Linked DNA regions of Diceros bicornis minor. The protein of the gene in region 3 purifies or fractionates together with the protein of the main gene of each other region. This does not show direct contact. Links are inferred from orthologs where the notes say so. Each region holds a gene or a part of one and is shown on either strand. Other genes may lie near its edges.

Region 1 (7,830 bases), on a different chromosome or scaffold from region 3:
GCTCAGCAAGAGTCATCAATAGATGATGTCATTTCAGAAATAAGCAAGCCAAGGTCACGAGGCCCCTGGGCAGAGGCAAACTACCCTTCATGGCCCTTCATCACCCTCCTTCGTGGATACTGAAGACTGCCAAGGGGACACTCGGGTCTGAGCCAGGACCGGCTTCATTTTACCCTTTCTTTGCTCAGTTGGATTCTAGGGGAATGTGATTCTCGAGCCCAGGGCAGTCAGCAGGTCATCAAGGAGGGCTGTGCGCACCCCTTGGAGTCTCCTCTCACCCTCTTCCCCTCTCCCGGAGCCTCCTCCCTCTCTTCTCACACTCCTCATCCCAGAAACACCTGCCTCCTCTCTGTGCCCTGCCTCTAGCTCCTGCTACCTGCCCTCGCCCTTCCTTCCTCATCCGAGCTTGTGGAAGAGTTGTAGGCTCGTCTCCACGGCTTCGGCTCCCATTAGCTTCTGCCTCTTCCCTCACTAAACCTAATGACACCATTGCAGGTACCAAGCACTGGGCTGAGGGCTTTCCCTGCATCATCTCACTCAATCCCCATAGCATCCCCTATGAAATGGGGCTATTATTATCCTCATTGTACAGAGGGGGAAACTGAGGCTCCGTCAGACAGGCTGGGTCACTGGCCCCAGTAAGGCAGGGGCAGATCCCATGTTTGAACCCTCTGCAATGCTCTGGTTAAAGTCACCCATGACCCTCTGCCAATCCTGGAGGCCCCTCCCTAGCCCTCATCCCCTCTGTCTCTCCGCAGCAAACGGCACTGCCGACCTCTCTTCTCCCTTGGCTCTTGGGAGGCCACTTTTCTTCCACTCTGTCTCTCCCCTTCACAGGGTGCGTTCCCCTGGAGTTCGTCCCTTCACTTTTCTCATGCCAGAAAGTCTTCCAAGGGAAACTCGGAGCCCTCTGGATTCCAGGTCCACTGGAGACGACCTTGTGCACCCCCTCACAGCTCAAGGTCACTCTAAGTGGGTGACAGAGCTGGGGCTGGAGGCAGGTGTCCCAACCTCCAGGCCAGTCCACCTCCTGTTACTCAGAGCTCTGCTGCGTCCTCCCTGTTTCTGTGTTTTCGCTGAGCTGCAGGAAGCAGCCCTACCCTGGAGGAGGGAGAAGGTGTGAGGCTCTGATAAGGTGGGGTGGAGGCTATTTTAAGAGGACACTGGCTCTCCACTTAGGCTGGGGGGAACTCAAGGGCTAAGACCATCTACAATGTGAGTTTGCAAGACTGGCTCAGTCAAGAGAACTAATACACGAAGCGACAGGGTTCCTTGTTTTCACTCTCTGCCTGCTTGTTGTGTGGCTCAAATTAATGAGAACCTTGCTATTTGTCTCCGTTTCCTCTTAATTCTATCTGTGAGGCTTTGAGACGGCTTTAGAGAGTATAGACTAATAGAAAGTAAAGTAGAGCAGAAAGGAAGCTTCAGGATGAGGGCGCTATTGTCCAGGCAAGGGGAAGTCCTGGACAGCTGCAGATCAGAGAGGAGGTGCATTGGTGGGGTGCTCACAGGCCCCCGAGACCTGTCTGACCAGCAGGAAGTGTCAGGAGAGAGCTGAGAAAGGCTGGAGACCGCAGACCTCCTGGGGAGTCCACCGGCTGTGACCTTGAGCAGGGGGCTCTGCGGCCCTTCACGGAGAACAAAATGGCTGTCACCACCCGGAGAAAGACGGGGAGTTTCAGGGTGCTCCCGCTGAGGGGCCAGAACCTGGGTTAGAGTCTGGTTCTGTAATTCGGACACGGAAACGCGTGGGCCGGGTCATCTCCAAGAGTCTGAGAGGGCGAAGGTCGAGGCCAAGTGCAGGGTCAGGAACGGCAGGAAGGCTCTGAGGCCGCATCATAGGCACTATACAGACGGGGAAACTGAGGCCAGGGAGCGGCTGGGCTGGAGCCTCTGGCCCGGCCCAGTTCATCGGGTCTAAAGCTGTTTGAGTCACACGCTGCTTTGCGAAGGTGATGGCTGCCACTCAGAGAGACGCCCATAATGACCCGGGGACGCCCTTCCTGGGGGTGTACGACCCAGGCTATTCCGAGGGGCCTAGTAGGTCCCAATATACGACCCGATCAGAGCGATCGCCCAAGTCTCCGGTTTCCACCACCCCTCAGGACGTGCGCGGCTGTGCCCCAAGAGTCCCAGGCCCGGAGCCGGGAACAGGTGGGGTGAGCGCCAGCGGTCAAGAGCGCGCCCCGCTGCTCTCACGACCGGCTCCTAGCTCCATTGCCAGAACCAAACCCCACCCCTACAAACGGGGAAACCGAGGCCCAGAGAAGCGGGGGGGGGGGGGGGGGCTTGCCAAGGCCACCGTGTGAGTTTGCGAGCGAGAGGGCTCCTGCCTCCGGGCTCTTGCTCGCTCCACCTCGGCGCGAAACGCACGTATCGTGGTGCTTTACACCTCGCCATCTCACGCAGTTTGGGAAACTTTTCCTGCCACAACAGGCGCAGCCCGAACCCGGGTTCCACGTCCACCCGAGCGCGTCCGCCCCCACTCCCACCCCGAACTCTCCGCAGGGGGAGGGAGGCCGCGCCTCCGTGCCGGGCTCGGGCCGGCACCTGCACCAGCAGAGCGGCGGTGGCGCGGAGCCCCGCCGCGCTGGAGTCCAGCGGGCGGCGGGGGCGCCCTCTCCGCCAGGACCCCGGCCCTCTGCGATGCTCCTCGAGAGCCCACGGGTCCTTCTCCCGTTTACAGACGCAGCGCCGGGGTCCAGAGAGGAGGGCGCCCCGGCCAGGGCCAGGCGCGCGGGGCGGCACGGACCGGAACGCCGGGCTCGGACCCCGACACCCGGACTCCCCAGCGCTGGAGGCAACCCGAGGCGGCGGCTATTTATAGAGGGAGCCACGCTCAGTCCCTCTTGGCGGCGGCGGCGACAGCTGAATATTTTGCCCAGATATGGCTGGGGCCCCGGCGCGGGGGCAGGGATCCCCGCGAGCGCGAGGGGGACCCTTGGCCTGGTGGGGGGCTTACCGGGCCGTAGAGCCGCGGGGCTGGCGCGGGCGCGGGCGGCCGGTGGACGGGCGAGCGGAGCGCGGGGCTGGAGGAGCTCCCGGGCGGGCGGCGGGCGGGCGCTGTGGGCTCCGGGGGTGGGAGCCAGGGGCGGGTCCGGCTCCGCGCTGTCACCGCGCCCCGCCCCGCCGCCGCCCTCGCCCTCCTTACCTCTCCCTCCACTCGGGGGCGCCGGGGCGCAGCACACCGTCCCCGGCCGGGGAGCGACACCCGCTGGGGGAGCGCGGGGCAGGGGCCAGGCCGCCCCGAAGCCTGGCTCCGCGGCCAAGTGGGTGCGGGTTGCCCCCAGTCTGTCTCGGTGTCTCCACTTGTACCAGGAGGAGTTTAAGCGACGGTAGAGTTATCTGGAAAAAGGTGGGCGGATTTTCATACCCGCGGGGTCTAGGATGTAAGAATCGGTAGGACCTTGGATGGAGCAAAGCCAGCCGACCGGCTGCTGCACCTTTCCCTCCTGCGACTGAAGCGACGGCCCGTCCCCTCTTGGCAGCAGCCCAGCTAGTGCGCTAGGAGCCGGAGCTTTAACAACGACCAATCTGTGAACACGCAGCTCCAACAGAGCCGAACGCACTCGCACTCAGAGAATGGAGTGTCCAAAACAACAACTTAACCACAACGAAAACGTCCCACTGTCTTAAACGGCTAATATGTTTGCCAGAACAAACCACTTAAACCCAAACAGAAACTTAAGTGTTTTAATTTTAAAAATGGCTCATAAAAAGCACTTTGTATGGACAGAAGGTAAAGTCTCTTTGGATTATTGTGGGAAAGTTTCTGGTGGGGTAGACCCTAATAATATCAACTCTTTTTAATCCTGGTGGATAGATTACTAATGGGAAACCCTTGATTTTGGTTGTTTTTTTTTTTTAAATCTTGTTTTCCATGAAAATATATTCCTACATTACAAAACCCTCCCAGCTGTAAGAGAATGCTCTTTTCAAGGGGTATGTGCCATATATTTTAAAATAAAGCAATGATTTAATATTCTAGGTTTTTTATTTTAAACGCTTTTGTTGTGGAATCAGACATTTAAGAAAAGTGCATACAATATAAGTGTGCAGGGTCAATAATTCTTATCATGAGAACACCTGTTGCAACCACCACTCAGTCAAGAAACAACATTGCGGACAGCTCAGGAGCCAGCCTTGCCCTCTGAGTCACAACTCCCTCCTAAACGTGATCACTTGGACTCTGATGGTAATCACCTCCTTGCTCTCCTCTCTCCTCCAGTTTGTTTTCACTTGTTCAACTCCATGTTGTGAGACTAATCCATGCTGTTCCATGTGACTGTAGTTGGTTTACTCTCATTGGTGCAGAGGTTTCCATTGCATGAATATACCAGTTTTGCAAAAGTCCATTTTACTATTAATGGACATTTGGGTTGTTTCCAGGTTTTAGCTGTTACAAATAGTGCTGCTGTGAAGCTTCTTTACCAGCACCCTCCTACAGAAGTGCAGACATCTTCAACAACGCTAGGAATTAACAAAAACAGAAACATTTTTGCCATTCTGGTGCCTGAGTCCCGGTGTCTCACTGAGGTTTGAATTTGCATGTCCCTGTGTCCTAATGGGTTGAGCATTTTTTCGAGTTTATTGGCCAGTTGCTTTTTCTCTTTTGTGAAGTGGTTGTTGAAATGTATTGCCTATTTTGCTTCTGGAGAATCTTTTGTTTATTGACTATATACAGCATATTTTCCCACGATATAGATATTCCTCCCCTCTGTGCTGTGCCTTTCGCCTTCATCATGTCTTTTCATGGGCAGGTGTTCTTCATTTTAATGTCCTCTAGTATATCCCTCTTTTTCTTTATTGTTAGCACTTTGTGTGTCCTGTTTAAGACATCTTTCCTACTCCAGATTATAGAGGTACTATTGTCCTATGTTGTCCTCCTACAGCAACCTTTCATGTTTAGGCTTTCAATCCACCTGGACTTGACTTCTGAAAATGGCATGAGGTCGGGGTGAAGTTTCATTTGTCTGTCTGCCAAACTGTCCTAGCACCAGATTAATTTTTCAGTTACACAAACAACATAATTAATTGCTTTATTCAATGAAATAGAGACCACCTCTTCCTTATCTATAGATAATTTGAGGATTTTTGTTGTTTTTTGTTAGGGAGAGAAACCATTATAAAAAACATTTACACTACTTTATTTCACTTAAACATTTATGTGTCAGGATATTTTTATCATAAATGATTAAGTCACTGGCATAAGCATTCCTGAATTTTGGATCACTTTAATTATAAATATTAAATACAAATTTTAAAAAGCTAGAAAGATAATTTCAGCGTTTTTACATGAAAAAATTAAAACATCTTGTCTTTACCTTCTTTCTGTTCTCACTTTTCCTATATTTTCTCAAATAAAAATAATGACTTTAAGAATTTTTATCTCTAGCCTAGTCTTCTCCCCTGAAATCCACTCCATATTTCCAATAGTTTATGCGTATCTTCACACAGAGGTCTATTAGTTTAAACTCAGTATGTTCAAAATTTTAAGCTTCCCAGTCAAAACCTGAGTAAGGGTCATCATCCTAAGGCCCTCTCAGACCTTAAGACTTGGCTTCACTCCTCGACACCTCCTTTTCCCTATCTTCTGTATCTAAGATGTCAGCTCTAATAATTCTAATTAAAAACTTCAAAAAGCCTTTAATGTTTTTCCTCATTCCCATTGCTCCACTCTTCGTCCAGGGCCTCCCCGCCTCATCTTTGGATCCCTGCTAATGCCTCCAACCCATCCCGCTGTCGCTCCAGCCTGCCCATCAATTAGCAAGCACATATGGGTGCCTGACACGTGCAAGAAATCATTCTGTGTATTGGGGAGGATACAGAGGGTGGCGTTGGAGTCCATTGTACAGGCTCACAAGAGCCGCTTGGGTGCCTCTCTTCCCAACTCCACAGAGATGTCACATTGTTGGAACTCAACAATAGTGGGAGTATTTACAAATTGGGAATCGTCAGACGCTACAAATCAAGGTTCACTCCCCCACCACACCCACCAGAACCAGTTGTCAAACATCCACCAGTACCTCACTGGCTAGAGAGATGACTAAGACCTCTTCCTCCCTCAAGGAGCTCACAATCTAGTTGGGGTGGTTGGTGCAGAGGCAACCAGTTATATACTAGAAAGCTCAGTGAGATCTGGGCACCAAGAGAGGCATACTTAAAGTACAGTGGAGTAGGACAGACACCAGGAAGGCTTCATGGCCAGTCCAGGAGGTCAGCGAGGAGGCTGACAAACAAAAGTGGATGGGGGAGAATGATTTGCAGGCTGAGGGAATAGAACAAGCATAGTTTGGAGGGGAGCAAGGCTTGCTTTAGAATATCAGTTGTCCTGGGTGAACATGCCTGGGGCTCAGGGACCAGGTAAGTGTCCAGTGTAGCTGGTGCGGGGAGTGGTGGACATTGAAGTTGGATAAGGAGACGGGGGAAGGCTGGGTCTTTGGTCTGGACTCTCTGGGCGATGAGAAGCCACTCAAGATTTGGGGTGAGGGGCATGCTGGTTTGCCTGGGCTGCTCCTCTAGCAGCACTATTAGCAATGCTCATGTGTTCAAGACTCAGGATAGTCTTCACATGGTTTGGGGACCACTTGCTCTGGGATACACCACTACACCAGAGTAGAGTTAAGTCATGAAATTCTCGCTCTAACTGGAGAAGAACCCAGCACTGGAAGGAAGACAACATGAATAGAGAGGGAAACTCTTCATCTTAAGATCATAAAGCCTAGAAATTATAAGGTAGTCAGTTTTTATATTGATAAACATTTTAATTCTAATATTATAGTAATAATTCAAGTGCAATTTTCTTTGAAAAGTCAACTCTGTTAAAATAAAACTTGTTAAATATCTTTCATCAAACATAAGCATATTCTTTTCAATCCCTCACAGCAGTCAGAGCCATGTAGCAGAGATAAGATTTTTTTTAAAGCCTACTACATTTTGTTATTGCTAAAAAATCTGAATTAGTTGTCAAGGTCTCAGAAGCAGTGATTAATTAACTTTTGAAAGCTCTACCAGATATTCTGACATAAAATCATGAATCCAGATATCTGTGTCTGGCAGCGATGTGTCCACTAAATAGACCACCACTTTCCGGTCCCAAGGGTTAGCATTTTCTATAACTGTCTGCACCAATGCCACCAGAGGTTTCTTCTCCACATGATTTCGAAACACCATCGAAGCCTCCTCAGACCACTGGTTGCACTTCACTCCTATGAGAAAGACAAGGAGTAGTGAGGGGTCAAATGAGCTTTTCTTTGATCCATTATAATGGAAAACTATTTAGTCAATTCCAAAGTAGCTTAAACATAGCAGATTAGACTTGCCTAACTGAAAAACAGTTGCTGAATAATCTTAAAGCAGTCCAGCTTATAGTTTTTTCTATTCTGAACAGGGATACTTCTGTAAGCCTTTACCTATAGACACAAGTTTCATTTGAGATTTAATGCTGTGTTATAAAATGAAGTTATAATAACTACTGCCCATTCCCCTACATAAAGTATATGCAGATTTAAACTGATAATGGAGATAACTAGGGGGAATAAAATATCACTATATCAATAACACTTCTTTTACAGATTTTTTTTCCTGACGAACCAGGTATAGTAAAAAAAAAAAAAAAAAAAAAGAATTGATATACTTCCAGTATACTAATTTTTCAAAATTATATACAACATCATGGTAAAGCACTGTACTGAAAGTCTGGAGACTCAGTTACTATTCCCTGCTCTTCCTCTATCAAGTGGTGTGATCTTGGGCAAATCAGTTGATCTCTCAGGCCTCGGTTTAATTATCGTTTATTTTAAGTCCCATGCATTTCTAAATCCCCATGAC
Region 2 (7,521 bases), on a different chromosome or scaffold from region 3:
CCAAGCCTCAGGCCTCTACCCGAGATGGGGAAACTGAGGTTCAGAGAAAGGGAGAGTCTATCCCCATTCTGCACATGTACAGACATCTAGTTCTCTCCCAAGAGCTGAAACCCTGGCCTGGAGCCTGAAGTGTAAAGCTGATCACTTCCCTCTCTCTCTGGCTCCAAACTCTCCCATAGCTCCCCAGCACCTAGAGAGGTGAATCCTAACTCAGAACAAAGCCTACACACCTCACCACTGCCCATGAGGTCCAACCTGGCTCCTGTGACTCCCTTAGCCCTCAGTGCCCCCTACTCTCTTCCCACTCACTCTGCTCTGGCTATCCTGGCCTCCCTGCTGTTCCTCCAAAACACCCAGCCCATCCTTGCCTCAGGGCCTTTGCACATGCTGTGCCCTCTGCCCAGAGCACTCTTTGTAAGTTATTATCTTCATTTGATCCCTCAGGAAAGGTGCAAAAAGAGAAGGTCACGTGTCCAGGAACATGCATCAAGTTGGTGGGAGTGAGGTTTGCACCCTGGCCCTCTCCCACCAATGGTGCCACGTTTAAAACAGGCCTCCAGACCAGTCCACCGTGGAGCTAGATGATTCTCAGCCCCTCCAGGTCTTGCTGCCTCCAGGTGGGTGCCAAAGACCCTCAGGCCTCGGGCTCAAGTCTCCCTGCTCAGGGAGCTCCTGGGCCAACCCGACTGACCCCCAAGTCTCCCAGCGTCCCTCCTGATGTGGCCGCAATTCTTTTGCCCCACTTTCTGCCCTTCACGCAGGCAGATGGCAGAGCCCTCAAGGACGACATAGCCAAAAATAATCGGGCTCCGACCTACCTCCCCAAAGTGGGCCAGCCCCGCCCAGCCACCTGGCACGGTGCAGGTAATTAGTGCATGTGGCAAATGAGGGTAATTAGGTCTGTGGGAACCGAACCGCAGATCCAGGTCCGGAGTTTGGAGGGGGCTCGAGGATGGCCTCCCCCACCCCCAACCCGCCCTGGTCCTGGGAGCTCAAGTCCATAACCCAGAGCCAAACCCTCCCCTAGCCCCTTCATGCCTGGGCCTGAGGGGCCTGGCTCTGTCACTTCCTGGGAGCTGTTTGTTTAATGAATTAAACCTGGCCTTGGGTTGGATCTAAATTTAAGGTGGGGTCCCTGTCAAATGATAAAAACTCACCAGTATTGAGTCATCGAACTCTCCTCTGCCATGACCCCAATGTGTCCATCCAATGCTGGGAGATGCCAAGCCCGAGGGAAGCCAGGCTTCCTCAGTGCCTGCACACTTCCAGGTGCCCTCAGGCTGGGGGTCAGAGCTGAACACAGACGCCACCAGGCCTTTGGGGTCAGGGTTTGGCCAGAAGGAAGGAGGGTGTTGGGAAGAGTCCAGAGGGAGAGGAGGGAGGGCTTTTTGGAGAAGAGGGCATTGGAGGTAGGGCTTTGAGGGATAAATAGGAGTTTTCCAAGAGGACAAGGTCTGGTGGCTGGCCCAACTGACGATGCTGGGGGAAGGGGGAGAAAGAGGAGGAAGATGGCTGGAGGGGCACAAGCGCCTCAGAGCTAAAGATTTAGAGGATATCATGCCAGGTTGGACCCATTTCTGTCCTCAAGAGTTCATGCCTGGCTGGGACCCTTCAACTCCTAAAAGAGAAAATCTTAAGAACTCGGCCCAGGATCAATACCACATGCTGGACAGCCAAGAATAAATACAATGTTTATAATGGCAAGCATTTATTAAGCTCCTAGAGTCACGCCTCTTCACGCAAGGACTCCTTGGATCCTTACAGCAAACCTCAGAAGTGGGCACCATTCTTATTCCCATTTTATAGATGGGGAAACTAAGGCACAGAGAGGGAAAGTGGCTTCCTTAAGGTCACACTGCTGGTAAGAGGCAAGGCTAGGATTCACTCCCTGGCTCATGTGACTCTGGACCACCAAAAACCAAGGCTGGGGCCTAGGGCTCCTCGCCTTCTGGAAGCATTTACAGAGTTCCTGCTGTAGGTCAGACTTGCTCTAGGTGCTGAGCCGTGGAAGAGGTGGACAGTAACCAAATCACACACAACAGGTCTAAGCGGCCACTGTGACCTGTGCCACATCGTTGGGCAGGTGGCTTTGGGAAGAGTGACAGACTTACCCTGATTTGGTGGGACAGCAGCTCCCCAGAGAGGACAGACGATTTAGCTTTAGTCCAAAGGTTGGGTCAGATTGAAGTAGGCAGAGGACAGAGCTTGACCCCTAAGAGCCACTCTGCAAGGGCAGCTTCCCTAGAGCAGAGCAAGCTGTTCCAGTCCCTGTTTGGTCCCTCCTGTGACAGGGAGCTCCTTCCCTCATGCCTTCCTCAGCCCCAAGTGAACGCTGTTGCTTCTAGCCAGCCACCCTGTGGTGATGGCCTCTGCCACCCTGCAAGGACATCCCCAGGCAGCAGAGGGCTCAGGCTGCAGGGGGCTGCAGCTCAGGGCAGCCCCCACCCATCGATACCCAGGGGACAGTGAGGAGCTGCTGCTGTTGCCTGGCTCCTCCCTGCCTCCTCCCCCACCCCCAGCCCTGCAAGCATCAGACCATTGTCCGGGCAAGAAAACTGAGATCCACACTGATAAAGCCGTTCCTTCAGTCTGGACTTGACTACGACAACTTCAGGTCAGGGCTGCTCAAGGCTAGCCCTGTCCCAGCCACTCCCAGAGGTCTGAGAGGGGGCCCTACTCTCCCTCATGCTGTTGCCTTCTGCCCACATACGCAGGAAAGTCTGCCCGGGCCCCTGGCCTAGCCACCCCCAGAGAATGGCCACGTGGCCCCAGCTCTGCAGCCGGCCAGCACTCAGCACATCCTGAGTGGCTTCCAGAAGCCTCGACCCTGCCGGCACCTTTCCAGTTACTTTTTTTTTTGGTTATTTTTTTGGTAATAAGGAAAAGTCACTCTTTGCACAGAACAGACGGTATTTTCTTTGTTCCCCACAATGTTCAAGCATTTTGTGGCTTTGGGCCTGAGAGCGAAGCCAAATCCTTTGTCTGTGCAGATGCCTTGTGAACTTAGAAGCAGCTGGGGAAACTGAGTCTGTGCCTCAGTTTCCCCAGCTGGGGTAAGCAGTCCCTCTCGTGCCGGGTGAGGCTGGGGCTCCAGGACGGGTTGGCCCTCCAGGAGTACCCAGAAGTAATAACCAGGTAACACAGACCAGGGATCCCACAGAAAGGGATGGGGTTGTGAGTAGGGGAGGGTGAGATCCCTTCCAAGCCTGGGAGAGTCAGAGAAGCTTCCAGGAGGAGAGGGGGCAGCGGAGCTGAGCCTGGAAGGAAAGGAAGAATACATGCCTGTGGAAAGAGCACTCCATGGGGAGGAGACAGCTTGGGCAAAGGCCTGGAGGGAGCAAAATTCAGACCTTGGCCTGGGAATAAGTCTCCAGAAACACCAGGACCTGGAATTCCCTAACGGGAATATGAAGGCAGCTCCTAGCTCAGATGTGTGGTTCTTGTCAGGAGGAACAGAAATAAAAGAACAGGGAAAGGGGACAGGGGCAGAGCAGATGAAGAGCAAAACCCCTAAGGGTGTTGGAAAGCTCAGACCTGAGGCTCAGAGCTTCAGGGAACTGCGGGCCGGTTCTGAGGAGCCCCGTGCGCTGCCCACCAAGCAGACGACTCTGTGTGGCCCCAGAGGAATCTCCGGAGAAAGGGCAGCCTCGCGACTAAGTGGGCCCCACAGGCAGGCTGGGGCCTGGGGAGGCCGATTCCGGCTCAGCTGCAGAAAGAGCCTCTCCTGGCAAATGTATGAGGGCTGGGCTCCTCCAACCAGAGGTGGAAACCCAGGCCCGCAGACCTCCAGGGGATTCACCCATTCGGTGGGAACTGGACACCCACCTTCCCTCCGCCCTGGATTCTGGGACCCTGGGATACAGCGATAGTCATCGTAATCTAACCATCACTAGCATTGCTACAGTGGTCTCAGGGGAGAGAGAGGCAGACAGAAGCCTGAGCCTGGGGGATCAGGGCTGGGCGGGAGGGCAGGCAAGAAGGATTCTGAGCAGGGCACCCAAGATCAAGCCCCATTAAGTGTCTACTGGTTGCTTCTCTCAGCCTCTTCCCGCCCCCTCTCTGCCCAGGTCTCTCTCATTTCCTGGCAACATGCACTGAGCACCTACTGTGTGCAGGCCCTGCACCCACCAAAGTGGCAGATGTGCCTCTGTCCCTGCACGCCCCTCAGGTGGACAGGGACCTGACTCCCATCAGGGGCAGAAGGCAGCAGTGACCTGGAGTGTCGGGGTCACCCTTGACGAGAGAACGAAGCCACATTCCCCACTGTCCATCTCTGTCTGTCTGTCTGTCGTCTCCTGTGTCTCTGCCCCCACCCCCACCCCATCCTTCTTCCCCACCCTATCCTTCCCCACCCTGAACCCCCTCCCCCGCGCCGCGGAGGGCCGGCAGGGGGCGCTGCGGGGCGGCCTCGGGGCCCGGGGAGGCGGGGCGGGCGGCGGCCGCGTCGGACCCGCCGCGATGGGACCGGAGGCGGCGCGGGCGGCGGCGGCGGCGCAGACAAAGGCGCGGGCGGCGGCGCGGAGGGCGGCGCGGAGGGCGCGGGCCCCGGAGCCAGCGAGCGAGCGGGGCGCCGGGCAGCGGGGAGTCGGCGCCGCGGGGTCGCACCCGACTCGCTCCCGGACACTCGCGAGGCGCCGAGCCGGCAGGGTGAGCCGGGCCCGCCGAGCCTGCGCGGGGGCGCGGGGCCCCCGAAGTTCCCGGGCCGGGGGAGGGCTCCGGGGGTCCCCGAAGTTCCGGACCTGGAGGCTGGGGGCGGCTCGGGGAGCCCCGAAGTTCCAGGGCTTGAGGGGGCGCCGGGGCCCCGAAGTTCCGGAGTCGGGGTCGGGAAGGGACTGTGCGAGGGCTTCCCAAAGTTTCGGACCGGGCGTTGGAGGAGGCTGCGAAGGTGTCTCCTAAGTTCCGAACCGTGGGTGTGGGGGCGGCACGAGGGGACCCCGGAATTCCCCACCTGGAGATGGAAGGGTGGCAGAAGGTCCCCGAACTTTAGGAGTCGGGGGCGGCGCGGAGGGTCCTCGAAGTTCTGGACCTGGAGTTGGAGGAGGCAGATAATGTGCCCCCGAAGTTCTGGACCTGGAGTCGGGGTGCGTCGCGGGGGTCTCAGAAGTTCCGGGGTCAGGAGCCGCGCCTCCCGAAGTTGGGGCGCGCGCGGGGCGCCCCGCTCCTGACGGCGGTGGGGACTCGATCCTGACTGACTGTCAGGCCCCCGGCACTGGGGCGCATGGGGTGGGGCTTCGCCCCCGCACGCGATTGGGGCTCCCCGGCACCGGGCAGGGTCGGGCCCCCTCCGGGAGCCCCGCGGCCGAGGCGCATGACTAGCTGGTGAGTAACTTTCCCCGAACGCCAACGCCGCAGGTCGCGGCAGAAGCGTCGGTGCCGGAAGGGCCTGAGTTCCTGGGACCCCGGCGCCGGGAGCCCTGCCCCAACCCAGGACCCACCCCCAACCCCGCCGAAGCTGCCGCCCCTCCTCCACCTAGGGGCTCGGGTTTCAGACCCTGTGACCGGGACAGCAGCTGCCCAGGACAGGGCTGTGCCGGGGCCTCCCTTCCCCCCCGCTTTGCCTCCCCCTCCCCCAGGTCCCTCCAGGATCTGGATCCCGCCCGGCCCCCCATGGTGTCGGGATTGAGTGGCATGGGAGGTCTGGCGGTAGGCAGCAGGGTGGACCTTTTTGGTTACATCTTGTCTTTTTAACGAAGCTGGAGGCTTCCTGAGCATTGGACCTTGTCTCTAAGGTGTGCCTCTGCCCCAGAGTGGAAGCTCAGGTCTCTCTCTGAGCCCAGTGGGAGACTGGTTTCCCAGTAGGCCCCTGGCTGTGCCCCACTTTTTGATGGTGCCCTGGTTTGGGGAGTGATGGGTGAATGTGGCAGAAAGTACTGCGCGGGAGTTGGCCTTGGCCTCCTCAGCCCAGCTCTGAGACTGAGGGGGCTTCACTGGGGTCCAGTGACTGGGCCGGTGAGAGGTTTACACTGGGATGTCAGGGGCCCCAGCTCGTCTCAGAGAGCCGTCTCCTGCCCAGGGTGTTGTGGGGGCTTCCTCCAGATGGAGAGAGACCGGTTTTTTGGTTCTGAGTGATCTACTGAGTCCTTCACCTTTTTGATTGAAGTTCTGTGAATGGTGCTCCTGGTGGTGGGTCCTGAGGTTGGACCTGCTTGGCCTCCCTCAGCCTGGCCTGTGGGGGACACTCACAGGCCCCCTCTCCCTCCAGAGGTGGAGCCAGCAGCTTCTGCCATCCCCCTGGCTGCCTCTTGGAGCCCGCCCAGCTCAACCTGACCAATGTCCACAGCCAGGTGAGCCCCCATCTCCACCTGCTTGGCCCTGAGCCCCCTGGGCGGCGCCCAGCCCCACTGAGCACCCTCTCCCCGTGCAGGGAGCAGCCCATCTTCAGCACACGGGCGCATGTGTTCCAGATCGACCCGGCCACCAAGCGGAACTGGATCCCAGCGGGCAAGCACGCGCTCACCGTCTCCTACTTCTATGATGCCACCCGCAACGTCTACCGAATCATCAGCATCGGGGGTGCCAAGGTCCCTGCGGGGCCTGGGTGGGGCGGCAGGTGCCAGGGGTCCGAGTGACAGGCCTGGGTCTGGTCGATGCCTTGCTCTGTGCCTGGAGGAGCCCTAACCCTTTCTGGGCCTCTTCCCTTCATCCTGAAATAGTTCAGAGCAAGGACCTCCGCGGTGCTAATACAAAGTGATAGCCGGGTGGTGGTGGGGGTTTCATGTCCATTGTTACCAGTCCCACCAACCTTGAACTCTGCTCCCCCCTTCCCAGGCCATCATCAACAGCACTGTCACCCCCAACATGACCTTTACCAAAACCTCCCAGAAGTTTGGGCAGTGGGCAGACAGTCGTGCCAACACTGTCTACGGCCTGGGCTTTGCTTCTGAGCAACATCTGACCCAGGTGGGTCTTGGGGTTATGCGGGGGGAGGGACAGGGCTGCGCCTGGGTCTTCTCCTGGGTGCCCTGGGGACCCTGGAAAGGTGCTGGGCCTCCGTCTTCCCACCTGCAGAATGGGCGTACAGAATTGGACAAGTCAGAAGCCCCTCCTGGTTCCCTGGTTCGCGTCTCAGCTCTGCTGGCCGCCTGCTCCGATTTTGCAAACACCCTGCCCTCTCTGGGTGCCTGGGATGGGCTGGGCGCTTCCCCACACACCCCAGCACTCCCTTCGTCATCGCCTCCCTCCACCCCGCGTCCTCTCAAGACTTCAGTCTCGTCTTATCCATTGTCTTCCTGTATGGCTAGCGCCCCTGAGTCCTGCTGAGATCGTGATGATTTTCTTCTCTTTTCTTCTAGAAGCTTGTTTTCTTTTCACATTTAGGTCTTGAATTAATTTCTGTGGGTGGTATAAGATAGGAATATTTTTTCCATGTGAGTATTCAGTTGCTCTTGGACTGTTTTTTGAAAAGACCATTTCCCCCCAATGATTTGCACGGGCCTCTGCACAAATCAAGTGGCTGGATGTCTGTACATATTTTCTTTAAAAAATTATTTTCAAAGGAAGGAAATTTATTTTAAAATGAAA
Region 3 (7,222 bases):
AGGAGAGAGGGAGGAGGGAGGAAAGGAGAGAGGGAGGAGGGAGGAAGGAGAGGGAGGAAGGAAGGGAGGAAAGGAGAGAAGGAGGAGGGAAGAAGGGGTATAGGAAGGAGGGAGGAAAGGAGAGAGGAAGGAGGGAGGAAGTAGAGGGAGGAAGGAAGGGAGAAAGAGAGAGGGAGGAGGGAGGAAGGGAGAGAGGGAGGAGGGAGGAAGGGAGAGAGGGAGGAGGGAGGAAGGGAGTGAGGGAGGAGGGAGGAAGGGAGAGAGGGAGGAGGGAGGAAGGGAGAGAGGGAGGAGGGAGGAAGGGAGAGAGGGAGGAGGGAGGAAGTACAGGGAGGAAGGAAGGGAGAGGGAGGAGGGAAGAAGGGAGAGAGGGAGGAGGGAGGAAGTAGAGGGAGGAAGGAAGGGAGGAAGGGAGAGGGAGGCAGGAAGAAGGGAGAAAGCAAGGAGGGAGGAAGGGAAAGAGGGAGGAGGAAGGAAGGGAGGGAGGAAGGAAGGAAGGAGGGCCTGGTCCAGCCCCATGAGATCAGGACAAGTCAAATGGCCCCCCAGCCCTCCCACTTCTCAGGATCCCTCTCTTCTGAAATCGACACAGGTGGGCTGTGGGGCCACAGGCTCCTGGTCCAACTGTTGCCCGGGCCCCAGCCCTTGCAGCTGCTTCCCAGCACAGCTGTCCCACCACCTGTCCGGCTGCCCTAGCCCACCGCTGGGAACAAAGGGCTCTCAGAGAAGCAGGGTCTGCCTCTCTCCATTCCACAGATGAGATGAGACACTGAGGCAGAACTCAGAGACCCTGGTTCCCAGACACTGCTCTAGACATCCCATCTCCCTGAGCGGAACTGTCAGCCTCTCTGTGGGCCTGGCTCCTCCCAGGAACACCTGCCCTGCCCTTCCATTCTAAACCCTTGCCTCCTCACCTCCAGTTACCTTTCCCTGCTGTGGCCACAGCCCTTACCTGGTGGAAACCATAGCGAAGTTCAAATCCTTCAACAGGCCTTCAACCCTGAGCTCTGCCCCACCTGCCTTTCCAGCCAGATGTCCGTATCCACACCACATACTTCAGTCACACTGGATGGCTCCCTGATCCCGAACACAGTTCTGGATATTTCCCACCCTCAAGCCTTTGCATATTCAGGAAGGCCAGACCTGCTTCTGCACCCCATGCCCACCCCTGGCTGAAGTCCCTCAGGAACCCAATACCAGCTCCCCAGGAAGCCCTGTCCTGAGCGGCCCCTTCCCCAGAGCACTTACCACACCCTAGCAGGGACAGGAAGGGGCATCTGAGCCCACCCCAGATCCCACTAGACCCATGTTTCTCAGAAAACACATCAGAGGCAGCCTGGGCCTGGAAGGGTGGGAGCTGGTGAAACCGCAAGGAATCAGGATGGGGGCCCTGGAATCTATGTCTCACTAGCTCCACTCCTGGAGACAGACGCTTCCAACTGGAAGCTTCGTGAAGGCAGGATGACTAACCCCATCAATCAACATATCACTCTCTGGGTTCTGGGGCCAGCCCAGAGCAGCAGCAGTAGGTGTTTGTGATACTGACACAGACTCCGAGAAACCATCCTAGGCCAGAGAAACTGGACTGGGGTGGGGGGAGCCAAAATGTAGCAGGAAGATCCTTGGGTCAGCTGATGGGGGGTGCTGAGAGCAGGCAGACCCCTCAGGACAATCACACTCAGAACGTTAGGGCTGGAAGGGCCCCGGCTGTCCCAGAGATGGCTGAGCCAACCCCCTCCTCCTGTTTTCAAGAAGACCAGAGAGCAGCCGGAACTTGTGTGTGGTCACACAGCGAGTCGTATCACGTCCACGGCGACACGGGCTCTTCCCACTATAAAACCTGACTTCCTGGGTCCCCCGCCCCCAGCGCCAGGGCAGTGGTCCATTTCAGAGTGAGCTCCCTCCCACACCCCCACTCAGAGGCAACGTCAGGGAGGGCAGTGCCAAGCCTCCTCTGTCCAGACAGCAATATTACCCAAGACGCCCTCTTGCAGCCTCTGAATGTAGAGTCTGCCCCTGAGTCTTGAGACCCCCTGCACTGCTGGCTCTGTGCTGGGTGCTGGAGGCACTCAAGCCCCCTCTGCAGGATGTGATCCTCACACCCTTTTCACGAAATGCTATCTGGGCCCTTGGGAGTGAGCAAATGTGTGTATGTGTGAGGGTGCGTGTGTGCATCTGTGTGTGTGTCCCACACACAACCCAGATGGGGGTTGACGTACACTACTGATGAATAACTCGCTTTGGCCACATGGATGCTGCTGGGTGGTGGGAGCCCAGGCCTCTGCTGAGCAGAATGCGGGCCAGCAGTGGCTGTACGACCCTGCATGGGCCACCAGGGGGAAATGGGGCGGTGATGGACAGTGCCCACCATACTGGAGGGCGAGGGGGGTATTCTGAGGTGGGCTGTGCCTCTCTCCAGGCAGGGCCCATATCCCAAGGCCAGCTCCTCCATGAGGTCAAGCTGGCTACCTACCCTGAACTCCTCCCATGATCTCAGCCCCCCAGGGGCAGGGCTGGGACAATGGGTGGGCCGCCTGCCCGCTTAGCCTCTGCTGACCTCTCTCATGACTGACCTGCAAGACATGAGAGCTCGTCTCTGGCGTCCATCCCTCCAGGCCTGGCTGCCCGCCAGTGCTGCAGTACTGTGGCATGGACGCCTGGCCATCTTGTCCCCTCCTCCAGCCCCCAGGTCAGTATCCCTACTTGACTGCCATCCCAGCATGAGGGTGAGGCCAGCCCAAGGGAGGTTCCTCAGACCTGCCCTCACTCTGTGCCTCAGTTTCCTGCCTGCCAGAAGAAGAGGGGGCCTAGGGAACAGAATGGACACCTGCCCCAGGGCAAGAGTGTTTAGGGGAAGATGATTCCTGAATGGAGCAATGTGGAACCCCTTGGCTCTCCTGCCACCCTGGGGACTCCGGCTCCAGAGCAGGCAGTCCATCCCCTCCCACAGCTCAAGGGGAGACAACAGCTGGAGAGCGGCAAGAGGGCAGCCTAGCTCCTCCCTCACCAGAGAGCCACGAGCCCCTTGACACTGGGTGATGGAGCTAGGGACTCAGTGGATCCACTCACCCCCTCATCCCTCTCTGGGGGCTCCCTCCACATTTCTGTGCCTGACGGCTTCCTCTCAGGGACCCCAGTGGGCGGGCGAGGTAGGCAGTTGGGTCCCCTTGGCATCACCCAGCCCGGCTGATCCGTCCCTGCACTCCCCTTCAGATCGTCCCTGCACTCCCCTTCAGATCGGGGAGAGGAGGACTCATCCCTGCCTCCCCCGCGACCCCTGAGGGGAACAGGAGTCACTTGGCGGTTGCCATGTGGCAGTGAACATCTTTCCATCACATCCCAACTCGGAGAGGCCCCCCCGGTGGGCGGGGCGCCCCGGCCCCCAGCCCGCCCCGCTCCTCCCCCGCCCTGGCTTTCCTTTGTGCTGCGGCCGGGCCGGGCTGGGCCAGGCAGGCTGCGCTGGCTCCGCTGGCTCGGTCCCCGCCCCATCCCCGCCCGGTCCTCGCCCGCTCGAAGGTGGCGAAGGTGCCCTTGGCCGTCCCGTGCACACCTGTCCCCCGGGCCCGGGGCGGGGGCAGGGGGCGGGGAAGGGGCTCCCGCAGGGCCACGCGGCCCCGGGCCACACATCTGGACCCTGCGTCTCTCCGGGCCGCATCCCGCCACGGCTCCGCCGCGCGACTGGGGCCGCCTCCGGGCGCTCGGGGCCCGGCACTGTCCCGCCCGGCCGGCCCCTCCCCCGGCGCGCACAAAGGCAGCCCCTCCCCGGCCCTCCCGGGCCGCTGCACCATTTCGGGGTCTCCCCTCCCTCCCGGCTACGGGGCGGCGGGCCGCGCGGAAACAAAGGCGCGGCGGCGGCGGCGCGGGGACAAAGGGCCGGGGGGCGGGGGCGGGGGGCTCACCAGTCGGCCGCGCTCTCCTCCCGAATCACCTCCTCGTACGCCGCCAGCAGCTCCAGGCGGTGGCCGCTGAAGCTGACGCCGGCCATGCTGCGGGCCGGACCGAGGCCGCACGGACAGAGGCGCGGGTGGACGGACGGACAGAGGAGGAGGGAGGAAAAGAGGGAGTCGCCGCCGCCACCGCCTCGGAGCCTCTGCAGCGCCGCAAGCCGAGTGAGCCAGCGGGCGGGGGAAGGGGAGCCGGCCGGCGGGGGGCGGGGGGCGCTGGCTCCGCCCGGCTCGCTCCCTCCGCGCGCCCGGTCCTAGCGCCGCCCCGGCCCGGCCCAGGGGGAGGCCCGCCCCCCCTTCCCGGCCTGCCCCGGGGCGCCCCCGTGCCCCTCACCCACAGCCCCTGCGCGCCCCCCCGGGCGGAGCAGCCTCTCGGCTTCCAAGGCCCGTCTCACCAGGGTCCCAAACCTTCACCTACCTTGTCCCCGGCCTCAGCGCTCACCCTCTTCCCCAGCCCCGGGGTTTCAGCCCCGTCCCCACCTCACCCACCCCTATCCAGGCCCGGCTTCACCCCTCCTCTTTCCAGCTCCCGAGTTCCAATCCCAAATCCACTTCATTCCAATCCGGCCCAGCCCCACTCCGTGCTTAATTTCTTTCCATCCCAGCTTCACCCCCATTCCTGGTTCATTTCAACCCCCAGCTCCAACCCAGTTCACATACCAGCATCCCCTGGCCAATCTGCAGCCTGTCTCCACCCGTTCCTAGTCCATCCCCATCACTGCTCACCGCCATCTGTGTCCCCACCCCAAATCCAGCCCCATTTCTTTCCTATCCCAGCTCCAGCCCCACTCCCAACCCCTTGCCTAGCAGGCACCCCCACCGGTTCACCATACCCCATCCCTAGCTGCACCCTCCTCAGTCCAGCCTATCCTGTTCCCATTCTGATCCCAGCTCTCAACCACACCCCTCCATCCCTGCCTCCTTGTCCATTCGTAGCCCCAACCCAGCTCATTACCCCAGCATTCCCAACCTCTTCCCCCTTCCCTGCCCCACCCCTATGCTGAGCCCCAACTCCCTTACTAGCTGCCTCCTAGGCCCTCTCACAGGGGACCAGCCTAGGAAATCCTTTGCCTTCTCTCCCAAGCCTCAGGCCTCCCAGAGGAATCCCAAGTAGAGTTCCGGAAGCAGCATCTAACCCCAGATTCCCCAGGCAGGACTCCTCCAAGGACACTCCAGGGCAGCCTCCTAGCACCTTTATTTCCCAAAGCTCTGAGCACAGAAGGCTCTGGGGCCTCAGAGAAGTCCCCTGCAGAGGAGTTGGCACCACTGCCAACTCCTTGAGGAGCTGAGGAAGGGAGAATGTGCACTGCCAGGGCCTCCTGGAACCTCTCCACTCCTTGCTGAGTTGGGACCCCCGAAACCCTTCCCAGCTCTGAGAAGCCTCCCACCCCCATCCTCCCCGGGGAGGTGACAGAACCTGAGCAAGCTTTACCTGGTCCAGTGTGGGAAGTGGTGGAGGAGGGAGTCCCCCTGGGCCTCCGAGTTCCGAGTTGGGTGATGGGCCACGCCAAGAGGAGGAGAGCAGTGTGTGCACTGAGCTCCAGCAGTGGTTCCCAGGGTTTTGCAGTAAGAGGAACCTCTTAAAACTCAAAACAGCCTACAGGCCTCTGCCTGGGGAATCTCTGCGCCCACCATGCCGTGGACCCCTGGCCCTGGCGTTTTCTCCACGGCCCCCACCTGGAGCAAGGCCCAGGCAGAGTCAGTAGGATTCTGAGGAGGAAGGGGACCCCATAGCAGGGCTGAGGGGTACCAGGGAGGGGTAGGTAGAGGGGTCTCAGGCCTCAGTCCCTTCCTGCTTCCTGTGACTTATCCAGGCTCAGAACTCCCCCCACCTTCCCCTCCCGGCACCTTCCCAGCCTCCTGCTCACTCAATTTGCAACCAAAAAACAGAAGCCCTAGTGCACACTCGCCCTCCCTCAAGTTCCTGCCTCCCCTAGCCACCTACAAACTCTCTCCAGCCACACCCATTCTCACCTCTTTGCCATCTATATTTTTAAATAAACTTTTAATTTTAGAACAGTTTTAGACTTACAGAAAAATTACAAAGACAGTACAGAGTCCCTATGTGCCCCGTCCACAGTTTTCTGTATTTTCAGGGGAGCAAGAGGGTCCCCTGTTCCACGTCCTGAGACCTGCTCCTTCTGGTCTTCTCACTCTGCCCCTCTATACTGGCTTCATCCGATAATTTATATATCTGTAATCTGTCTCCTCCTTCCCCTGTTGTCCCGGGCACTGTTCTGGCCAAAGTCACTAGTGACCCCTAAATTGCCAAATTCAGTGGCCCCGTCATAGTCCTCAGTTTCCTCAACCGGGTGGGAGCAGGGTGACCACCGATCACTCTGTCCTCTGTGAACCTGCCTCCCTTCAGCCATCCGCTGCCCCTGAAACCCACACACTCAGCATTGGTGGGTGGGTGCTGGGTGCCTCCTGGAGGTTCTCCCACTAGGCCGCCACATCTACCACTCCCAGCGCTGATCACCCTTCTGGTGCTAACATATCAGGTCTCTCCCACCTCCAGAGCATGAACTCCCCCCACACTGGGTGGCTGGTCCAATGGCTTCTGGGTCCTGGAGTAGAAAAGATGAGAAAAAAGGAGAATTCAGATCCAGAAGCTGGTCACTTACTGTCAGAGCTTGGCTAAAACCCTTTCCCTGTCTGAGTTGCCTCTTTGACGACATGTTGTGAGGATAAATGTAACTGGATGGAAACTTAGAAAGTGAGAACCCACTCCCTTCCTCCTCGCAGCCCCGCCCTCCTCCCTCCCATGCCCACCTTCCTGTACTGTGCTCCCCCACACCTCTCAGGGAAGATTTCCTTTTTTTTTTTTTTAATAATTTTTATTTATTTATTTATTTTTCCCCCAAAGCCCCAGCAAATAGTTGTATGTCACAGCTACAAATCCTTCCAGTTGCTGTATGTGGGACGCAGCCTCAGCATAGCCGGAGAAGCGGTGCGTCGGTGCGCACCTGGGATCCGAACCCGGGCCGCCAGCAGCAGAGGGCGAGCACTTAACCGCTAAGCCACAGGGCCGGCCCGGGGAAGGTTTCTTTTTTCCTTTTTCTTTTCTTTCTTTCTTTTTTTTTTTGCTGAGGAAGATTCGCCCTGAGCTAACATCTGTGCCAATCTTCCTTTATTTTTTAGTATGTGGGCCACCAGCACAGCATGGCCACTAACAGAGCAGTGTAGTCCACGCCCAGTAACCGAACCCTGGCCGTGGAACCCTGGCCACTGGGGCTCGCCCTCAAGGAAGGTATCAAAGCTGACTTGGCCTCAGGACA
Region 4 (7,212 bases), about 82 Mb from region 3:
AGAAGAGTAAAACTGTCCTCAAGCCATCGTGTTGGAGGTGCCAAACACTTCTACTCTCATCCTTGAGACCATTAACTAGCCTGTTTCTGTTCAGAACATTATTGGTGATAACAAAAGACGGTTGTAAACAAGCCAAACACATTTTACTGACATTCAGTATCTGCTGTGTTCTGGAGCAAGTGGGATGCCTTTGGAGAATCAACCGGATAAATTCTGTTTCCCTACAAATCCTTCATTCTTTTCTTATCACTACTTTTAGTCTTGACTGCTTATTTAGTTTCTTCCTAACTGTGTGGCATAAACTAGGAATCTTGATATTTCTATGTATGCAGAGATATCTTTTAACTTATTATTTCTACCTATGACTTTATTTGAAGCAATAGTGGTATTTTGGTAATTAAAAAGAGGGAATTTGAAAGGGAGTTGCTATTATCTAATGTTAAGCAATTAAAAACAAAATCTGGCTTTAACCCTCTTTCCCGCAAAGTTTTTCTATCTCCTGGATGTCTTTTCATTGAAAAAGAGATATCTCATGACCAGTCTATGAACACCCCATTGCCATCTCCTATTAAGGGCACGGAAGTAAACTCTGTAACTAAAACAGATGCCTTCGCCCACAGGTTCTAAAATCAGAGGATATTCATAAACCTCTCCACAAATTTTCACAGTGTAGTGGGAAATAGGAACTGTTAAAAATTTGAAACTCTACTAAAGTACTTTCTGCCTCTTCCGGTAAAAGAAAATATATTACTTTCTAGGAAGCTCACTACTTGAAAAAACATACAAAGCAATCAGGGTTGGAAATTCATGGCTTGCATTTGGGTTACATGAGCTCAATTTTAGAAGAAAAGATATTTACTTTTAGATGGAAAGTCATAGAATGGTTCTCTGACTCCTCTCAAAATTGTATTGGAATTGTTTCAAGAGAAGAGAAAAGGCACTTACTTTATTATTTTTTTTCTGAGCAGATATTCCATGATACATGTTTTATTTATTCCTTTGGGTACATAGACATATGTATTCCCTGATATACTAATCCCACACAAGCTAGAAAGAAAAATTGACCAATTATTGGTAGAATTTTCTAGATTAAGAGTGGAGGCTGAAGTTAAATAATCACATAAACCTTGAGTAATTATATCACAATGCACAATTCAATTTATATAGAAAAAAAGTTGCTCTCAATTTTCAGTCAACAAAAGAGCAGTTGAGAAGAAATCATGTAGCTTTGAAAAGTAGAAACTCTAATGAAGGGTCACCATTCTAAAAGCAGCTGATGTGCTGTTTTGACAGTTGGGTAAAGATGAGGGGGAATAAGACTGTAAACCAGAGGAAGTCTTGATGAAAGGGTAGAATGAAGTGTTTGAAAATGGTAAAGTGAAAGCTTTAATTAACGTGGATGGAAAGAGCAGGAAAGAGAGAAAAGTGATTTAGTTCAGATAGGAAATAGTTTGTAGAGAAATTTTAATAGAGTAATAATTTGTATTTTAATTTGCAAGGGCCAAAGGGATGACATTATTTGAAAAATGACAGTTTTATTGTTTTAATATTTTATACATAAGTAAGAAGCTCCATTCATCTGAAATATAAATCAGTACTATTAATACGATAGTATATGTTAAACAAATTAGCAAGCAGGGGTTTGCTTTTGATTAACTTTTGTTATAACCTTTAAAAAAACTACTTTCAATATTTCAAATTACAAGCAAGATCATGATTTTATAATGTGAAGATAACCAAAAAGCCTGATTTAGTTGCAAATCGGTCCTAACTCTTTTGGCTAGTGTCCTTTAATCTTGGACTCCTAACTCAATCAAGAAAATGTAGATGCAGAAAGTTGAAAAACCAAATTTTTTTTTAACCACAAATGGTATAAATTCGGTGGAGTTCTAGCTTCTTTTATTTAAACTGTTCTGATATCCATTTATAGCTCTCCTAACAATCATTTTATAGATTGGTAATCCTATGTCCTGGATTTTCCAGGTCACTTCAGATTTCATGTATTTGGTTTCTTGTCAAATGATGTGTCCGGATTTTGGTTTGGAAAACGTGGTCCCTGAATTTATAGACTAACTGTGAAACAGCGATGGCCTTTGGCATTATGTAATAATCGTATTTCTGGGTCATGATTATCAAATTAAATCAAATCAAAGCTCATTATTTGAGTCTACCTAATAATAAACTATCAAAATAATGACATTTTAAAACTTTGTAGAAATTTGCAATTTGAAAAGCATTCATAATATGATTTATTATAGACACAAACACACACACACGGCTAATAAACCTATAAAAGGCTACTCACCCTTGCCATATAGGAAATGAAAAACAACATACTTCAGAGATACAGTAATTACATATTACATGGTCAAAGCCAAGGAAGACAAAAACAATCTAAATGTGCTTGTGTTAATATTATAAAAAGGATTTGGTGGTCTTTCTTATTTTTAATTTCCATAGACTGGAACTCATATTCTCTATAAACCTGAACTGAGAGGATATATACTGGCATTTGCTATGCGTGTAACAATAACCACGAGTGAACTTTCTAAGATTGACTTATCCTATGCCAAAACATTGCTGTTTTGCAAATGAAAACATTTAGATGATTTGATGCCCCCCTTAATTACTATTCTTTATAACATTACAACATTTGTTCATGGCTCCGCTCTTTATCCTTCCGTGATTTAGGTAACCACTAAGCAGAAAAAAAAAAAAAGTTTTAAAATCGACTGCGTCCGGAATGGCATTTAATGTCTTTCGAAAATTAAGGTGATTTTCCCCAAGTCTTGTTGGAAACCTATCTACCACTAGTGAGCAGGCTCTCCTCCCACATTTCCGTGCGAGTTGGGACTTGAGAAGCCCGCGGATGCTGCTGCAACAGAGGTGGGAGTGGAAGATTCGATGTCACCCGCTTGACACTTCAGCAGTGTTGCTATGAATGATTCACTTGTGTTTGGCACATTTGTTGCAAGGAAATCTCCTCCTCCCGCCGCTTCCTTCGCCGAGCTCCTCTCGGGCTGTCTCCTGTGCTTTGGCCTTTAAGCTGAAGCGAGAGCAGGTGGGCACAGAGCAGCTCGCGGACTCCTCCTCCCCCTGCTCCTTCCCTAATTTAGCAGTACTTCCGGCCGCGTGACATCATCCCCCGCACCCCGGTGACGTGAGCGGCGGGTGACGTGTGTGCGGAGAGAAGCGCGCTGACGTTGCTATTTAAAGGTCCTCCTGCGGGGAGGATGGAGACACAGCGCGAGCACCTGGTGTGGGGTGTGGAGGAGGCAGTGGCGGCCGGGAGCGGGGCCAGAAGCCAGCGGAAGAGCAGAGCGCGCGGGCCGCCCGCCGCCGGCCGCTAGGGGAGGGGGGAAGGAAGGAAAGAAGGACGGACGGACTGACGGACCTGCCGGCCGGACTTGCTCCCCTCGAGGGCCGGCTGGGCCGCTGACCACCAGCCTTCCCGCCGCCCGCGCGGCTGCCGCTCCCTCCCGCTGCCCGCAGAGCCCCGCCGGGCATTCGGGACGGGTCGGCGCGCCAGCCCCCGGCGCCCGGCCGCGGCTCCGCGGGGCCGGCCGTCTCCCGCCCCCTCCCGCGAGCAGGGGGAGGGCCCGCCCCCCGCTCTCCCCGCCCCCTGCCCGCCCGGCGGCCGCGCTCGCCTCCCGCGGGCGGCGCTGACTGGGAAGTGGCGCGCTCCGCTCCGCGAGCGGCCGGTGGAGGCGGAGGCAGCGGCGGCTCCAGGCCGCCTGGGCCGGCGCTGCTCTGCCGAGCGGGAGCCGGAGGCCGGGGGAGGCGGGCGGTGAGGGAAGTGTGAGGCGGCGGCGGGGCCCGGGGACTGTGGCGGCGGCGCGGAGCGGGAGAGGCGAGGAGCAGGGTGGGGGCGCTGGAGTAGCGGCTCTCCCGCGGCTTCGAGCCCCGCGCCCCTGCCTTCGACGCGAGAGTAGCCGCCCGCCTCAGCTCGGGCGGGCGCCCGTCGACCTTCCCGCCCCGTCCTCCGCCGCGGCTCGGCCCGCCCCGGAGCTGGGGGCCGGCGGCGGCGCGCGGCTCGGCTCTGTGACTCATTCATTCCCCGCCGACGGGAGCCTCGGACCTGCGGTGCTCCGAAGAGAGGAGGGGAGAGGGGCCGCGGCGAATGAAGGGCCGGGCGCGAGCCAGGCTCCATTGTGCTGGGCGGCGGGGGGCGGGCAGGGGCTGAGGGAGGGGGATCGCGCCCCCGCCCCCCGCTCCCCGGCGTGCGCGGCGCCCCCAGCCTGCTGCCAGCCTGGAAATGGCTCCGTCTATTCTCCTCGGGAGAATGAAGCGATCCTGCCCAGCCTGCTCTTCCTCCTCCCCACCGCCTCTCTGCTCCGAGTCTTAGAAGGGGAGACGTTTCACAGACAGACTCCAATGTGGAGTGCCGTGCACGTCGCGAGCTGCAGGGTTTGCACTTCGAGGAGATTTTTCTACATCGCTTTTTCTAATGTGAGCGCAGGGAAGCAGTGGCATTACTGCTTTTAGGATTTTTATTTTCTCCTAGGGCTCTCTAAAGTGCACGTCGCATTGGGTTGCACGCTCCACCCCCAGGGACCTGGGGTGGGAGAGAAATCTGAACCCGCAGCCTTAGTAGCACCGAAAAGGCCGAGTTACCTGCTTCTCTCTGAGTGTCGAGGAGGACATGAGCGAAATGACCACCGAACTCATTTTTTATAGGACTCGGTGAAGCTGGATTCTGCGCTTTACGACACAGACTCATTTTGTGGAATAGAGTTGACCGCTGTCTCCTCCGCGCAGCATTTTAACTCCAATAAGCAAATGCCCCCTCTGTTTGAACGTTTTGGTATTTACGAGGGAGAAATCATTTTACCTAAGGGAACTAATTGAATTGTCAGCATCACTGAAATACCTCCAGAAAAGGATCTCGGGGGGTGGAAAAGCGACTGCGAAATAGCAGACGGAGAAATTCCTTTGGAAGTTATTCCGAGCATAAGAGCAGAAACTTCAGAGCAAGTTTTCACTGGGCAAAATGGGGTAAGGATTTTTGTGTTTAACACAGCTTCGAATCTGCTTATGTATGTGTGTTATTGAGCGGTGGTGGCGATTGTCTGGGTTTTGTGTTTTCAAGCAAATTCCACCTTGCTAAGCTGGTCGTACTTGAAAAATATAGGTGTGTTAGCATTTTAACAAGTTATTTTTGTAGAGTGACGCCGGAAGTCATAATGAAGGAACATACGTATATCGTTTGTAACCAGAATATAGTTTTATTAGTAATGTGTAAGAAGACAACACAGTCTGCACTTTACTGGTTACACTGCCGCATTAGTTTGTACTCGAAATCGTGTTTTAGGTTTTGTTGCTGATATCTTTCAAAGAGAAGTACTGCGTTCTCTCAGTACTTTGAGAAGAATCAGTTGCACAGAGGAACAATTGTACAGTAATGGGTGGTTAGACTACAGCCCTTGAAAATGATCCAATGTAAATTGTTGCCCTTACGGTGCCCTCTATTTTGCCCTTGAATACCCAAAGCTAAAATGTGTAGAAGTGATTTATTGGAGCATTAAAACGAAAATCTGAAAGTCTTACTGATGTGGTCTGCACATGGCCGATGCACTTGATAGGAGATCAGAGCTTGAATAGGAAACAGCTTTTTGTTGAAGGAACTTGGTCACTTTTTCTGTTTTTTGCTTTTAAGCTCAAGTCTTCAATTTGTGTTAACAATGTCAGATCTACACCTTCTTTCAAATCCAAAGTCAGCCAAGAGTGCATTTTCCAACCTTTTATTAACTCTTCACACAATAACTTAGTCTTCCTAGTTTAAACCAGAAACCCATAATATATTAATGGAGTAATGATCTGGTCATTTCATTGACCGATTGTCAATGCTTTTTGTCGAAGAGGAACTTCCAGAATTTTCTTTTCTCTCTTTTTTTTTTTGTAGTTGAACAAACACATCTAAAGGGACAGGAATTGAAAGGATAGACTCTGAAATTCACTGTGACAGTATAAGGGGTGTGCACACCTAAACTTTCTTTCTGGAAACTTTCAGAGGAAAGTTCTTAGATAGTATTACCTTTTGTGTTGGAGTTAAAATTTGAAGTTTATTAACTTGAACAAATTTGAAAATGTAGATATTGTAGGAGCCCTTGGTCAGGAATTAAGGAGAAAGAGCGATAATTGTTTTTTAAACTTAAATGACAAGTGATGAGAATATATATAACTTGCATAATTTGGGATGCTGCTGAGAGCAGTTAAAATACCTCATTCTATTTCTAGTGCTGCTATTAGTAGCTTGGTGATCTGAGGCAATTACTTAACCTCTGTGGACTCTGTTTTCTTATCTGTAAAATGAAGGAGTTAGGTGAGTTTAACAAAATTTTGTAATCTGTAAAAGTGAATTCTTTTCTTTTTCTCCTCCTTTCTATTTTAATGATTACTAGTTGGTTTGAGGTAAATCTTTCAGATGGAGAGATTGTTTTCTCTAAGCAGTTTTTAAGCACGTAAGCTGGAAAATAATGGCATTTGAAAAATGTTTTGGATGAGTTGCACCAATTTTAATGAGACAGGATACTGAAAAATACTACTATTCAGAATCTTTGAAATATGGCTTCCTTTAAGAATCTGCAGCTCTTCTGTTTAAAACATGTCAGAGCAAAAAAAAAAATGAGGTGGCAGTTTTTCCTGTCGAAGGCTGCATTCTCTCTAGACTGTGGAATAGTAGCATCGTGGAAGAAGATTGGTTTTCCACAACCTTTAAGCTGCATGAATGCCCATCATTTTACCAAGGGAAGCTTGGGATGAACTTAATAACAGGGAGACTGGTGTTTAAAATATGAAAATAAGCTGCCACACGTAGCAGCACATTTTAGATACTTTAGGGTAATTAAATTTGTTTATAAACTAGTATATTTGCCCTTAATAAAGCCATAAAGGTGGACTGGAGAGGAAACGGAGTGTTAAAAACATTATTTTTCTGAAAGTCTATATTTGGGGCTATGACTTTCTCATTGATAGTGACTTGTTTCATCTGAGTTGTCAAGAGAGGATGGGTAGGTGGAACTAGAAGAGAAGGGCATGCAGAGAAGGCATTTGTGGAAGTTTCCACACTGGGTGGGTGTTTATGCCTAATAAATGTTTGCAGAATAAGCATAGCCTCCTGCACCCAGTTTTACCCAGGCAGTCCTAAATTACCTTATTCTGACGAGTATCTAAAATTTAATATTGTGGGTGAAGTGTTTCACATGTCATTAA

What was found. The genes of interacting proteins can lie anywhere in the genome.
Region 1: the proteins of DBN1 (region 3) and TMOD1 purify together in Homo sapiens (co-immunoprecipitation; 3 studies listed by BioGRID and IntAct, with this or other methods). This does not show direct contact. The link is inferred for Diceros bicornis minor from reciprocal best matches to the Homo sapiens genes DBN1 and TMOD1.
Region 2: the proteins of DBN1 (region 3) and HOMER3 purify together in Homo sapiens (co-immunoprecipitation; 3 studies listed by BioGRID and IntAct, counting the BioPlex papers as one, with this or other methods). This does not show direct contact. The link is inferred for Diceros bicornis minor from reciprocal best matches to the Homo sapiens genes DBN1 and HOMER3.
Region 4: the proteins of DBN1 (region 3) and HOMER1 purify together in Homo sapiens (co-immunoprecipitation; 3 studies listed by BioGRID and IntAct, counting the BioPlex papers as one, with this or other methods). This does not show direct contact. The link is inferred for Diceros bicornis minor from reciprocal best matches to the Homo sapiens genes DBN1 and HOMER1.

What each region holds. Positions count from the first base shown.
Region 1 is NC_080767.1:7,812,071-7,819,900, reverse strand, and holds the start of TMOD1 (tropomodulin-1), read right to left. Parts: upstream 3,016-7,830; 5' UTR 2,963-3,015; intron 1-2,962. Other genes in the region: TDRD7 (tudor domain-containing protein 7), read right to left, coding at 6,988-7,208. UniProt on the Homo sapiens protein: Blocks the elongation and depolymerization of the actin filaments at the pointed end. The Tmod/TM complex contributes to the formation of the short actin protofilament, which in turn defines the geometry of the membrane skeleton.
Region 2 is NC_080759.1:6,480,439-6,487,959, reverse strand, and holds the start of HOMER3 (homer protein homolog 3), read left to right. Parts: upstream 1-4,506; 5' UTR 4,507-4,647; intron 4,648-6,202; 5' UTR 6,203-6,270; coding exon 6,271-6,284; intron 6,285-6,364; coding exon 6,365-6,521; intron 6,522-6,768; coding exon 6,769-6,900; intron 6,901-7,521. UniProt on the Homo sapiens protein: Postsynaptic density scaffolding protein. Binds and cross-links cytoplasmic regions of GRM1, GRM5, ITPR1, DNM3, RYR1, RYR2, SHANK1 and SHANK3.
Region 3 is NC_080740.1:90,682,901-90,690,122, forward strand, and holds the start of DBN1 (drebrin), read right to left. Parts: upstream 3,008-7,222; 5' UTR 2,939-3,007; coding exon 2,574-2,938; intron 1-2,573. UniProt on the Homo sapiens protein: Actin cytoskeleton-organizing protein that plays a role in the formation of cell projections. Required for actin polymerization at immunological synapses (IS) and for the recruitment of the chemokine receptor CXCR4 to IS.
Region 4 is NC_080740.1:8,252,243-8,259,454, reverse strand, and holds the start of HOMER1 (homer protein homolog 1), read left to right. Parts: upstream 1-4,197; 5' UTR 4,198-4,990; coding exon 4,991-4,995; intron 4,996-7,212. UniProt on the Homo sapiens protein: Postsynaptic density scaffolding protein. Binds and cross-links cytoplasmic regions of GRM1, GRM5, ITPR1, DNM3, RYR1, RYR2, SHANK1 and SHANK3.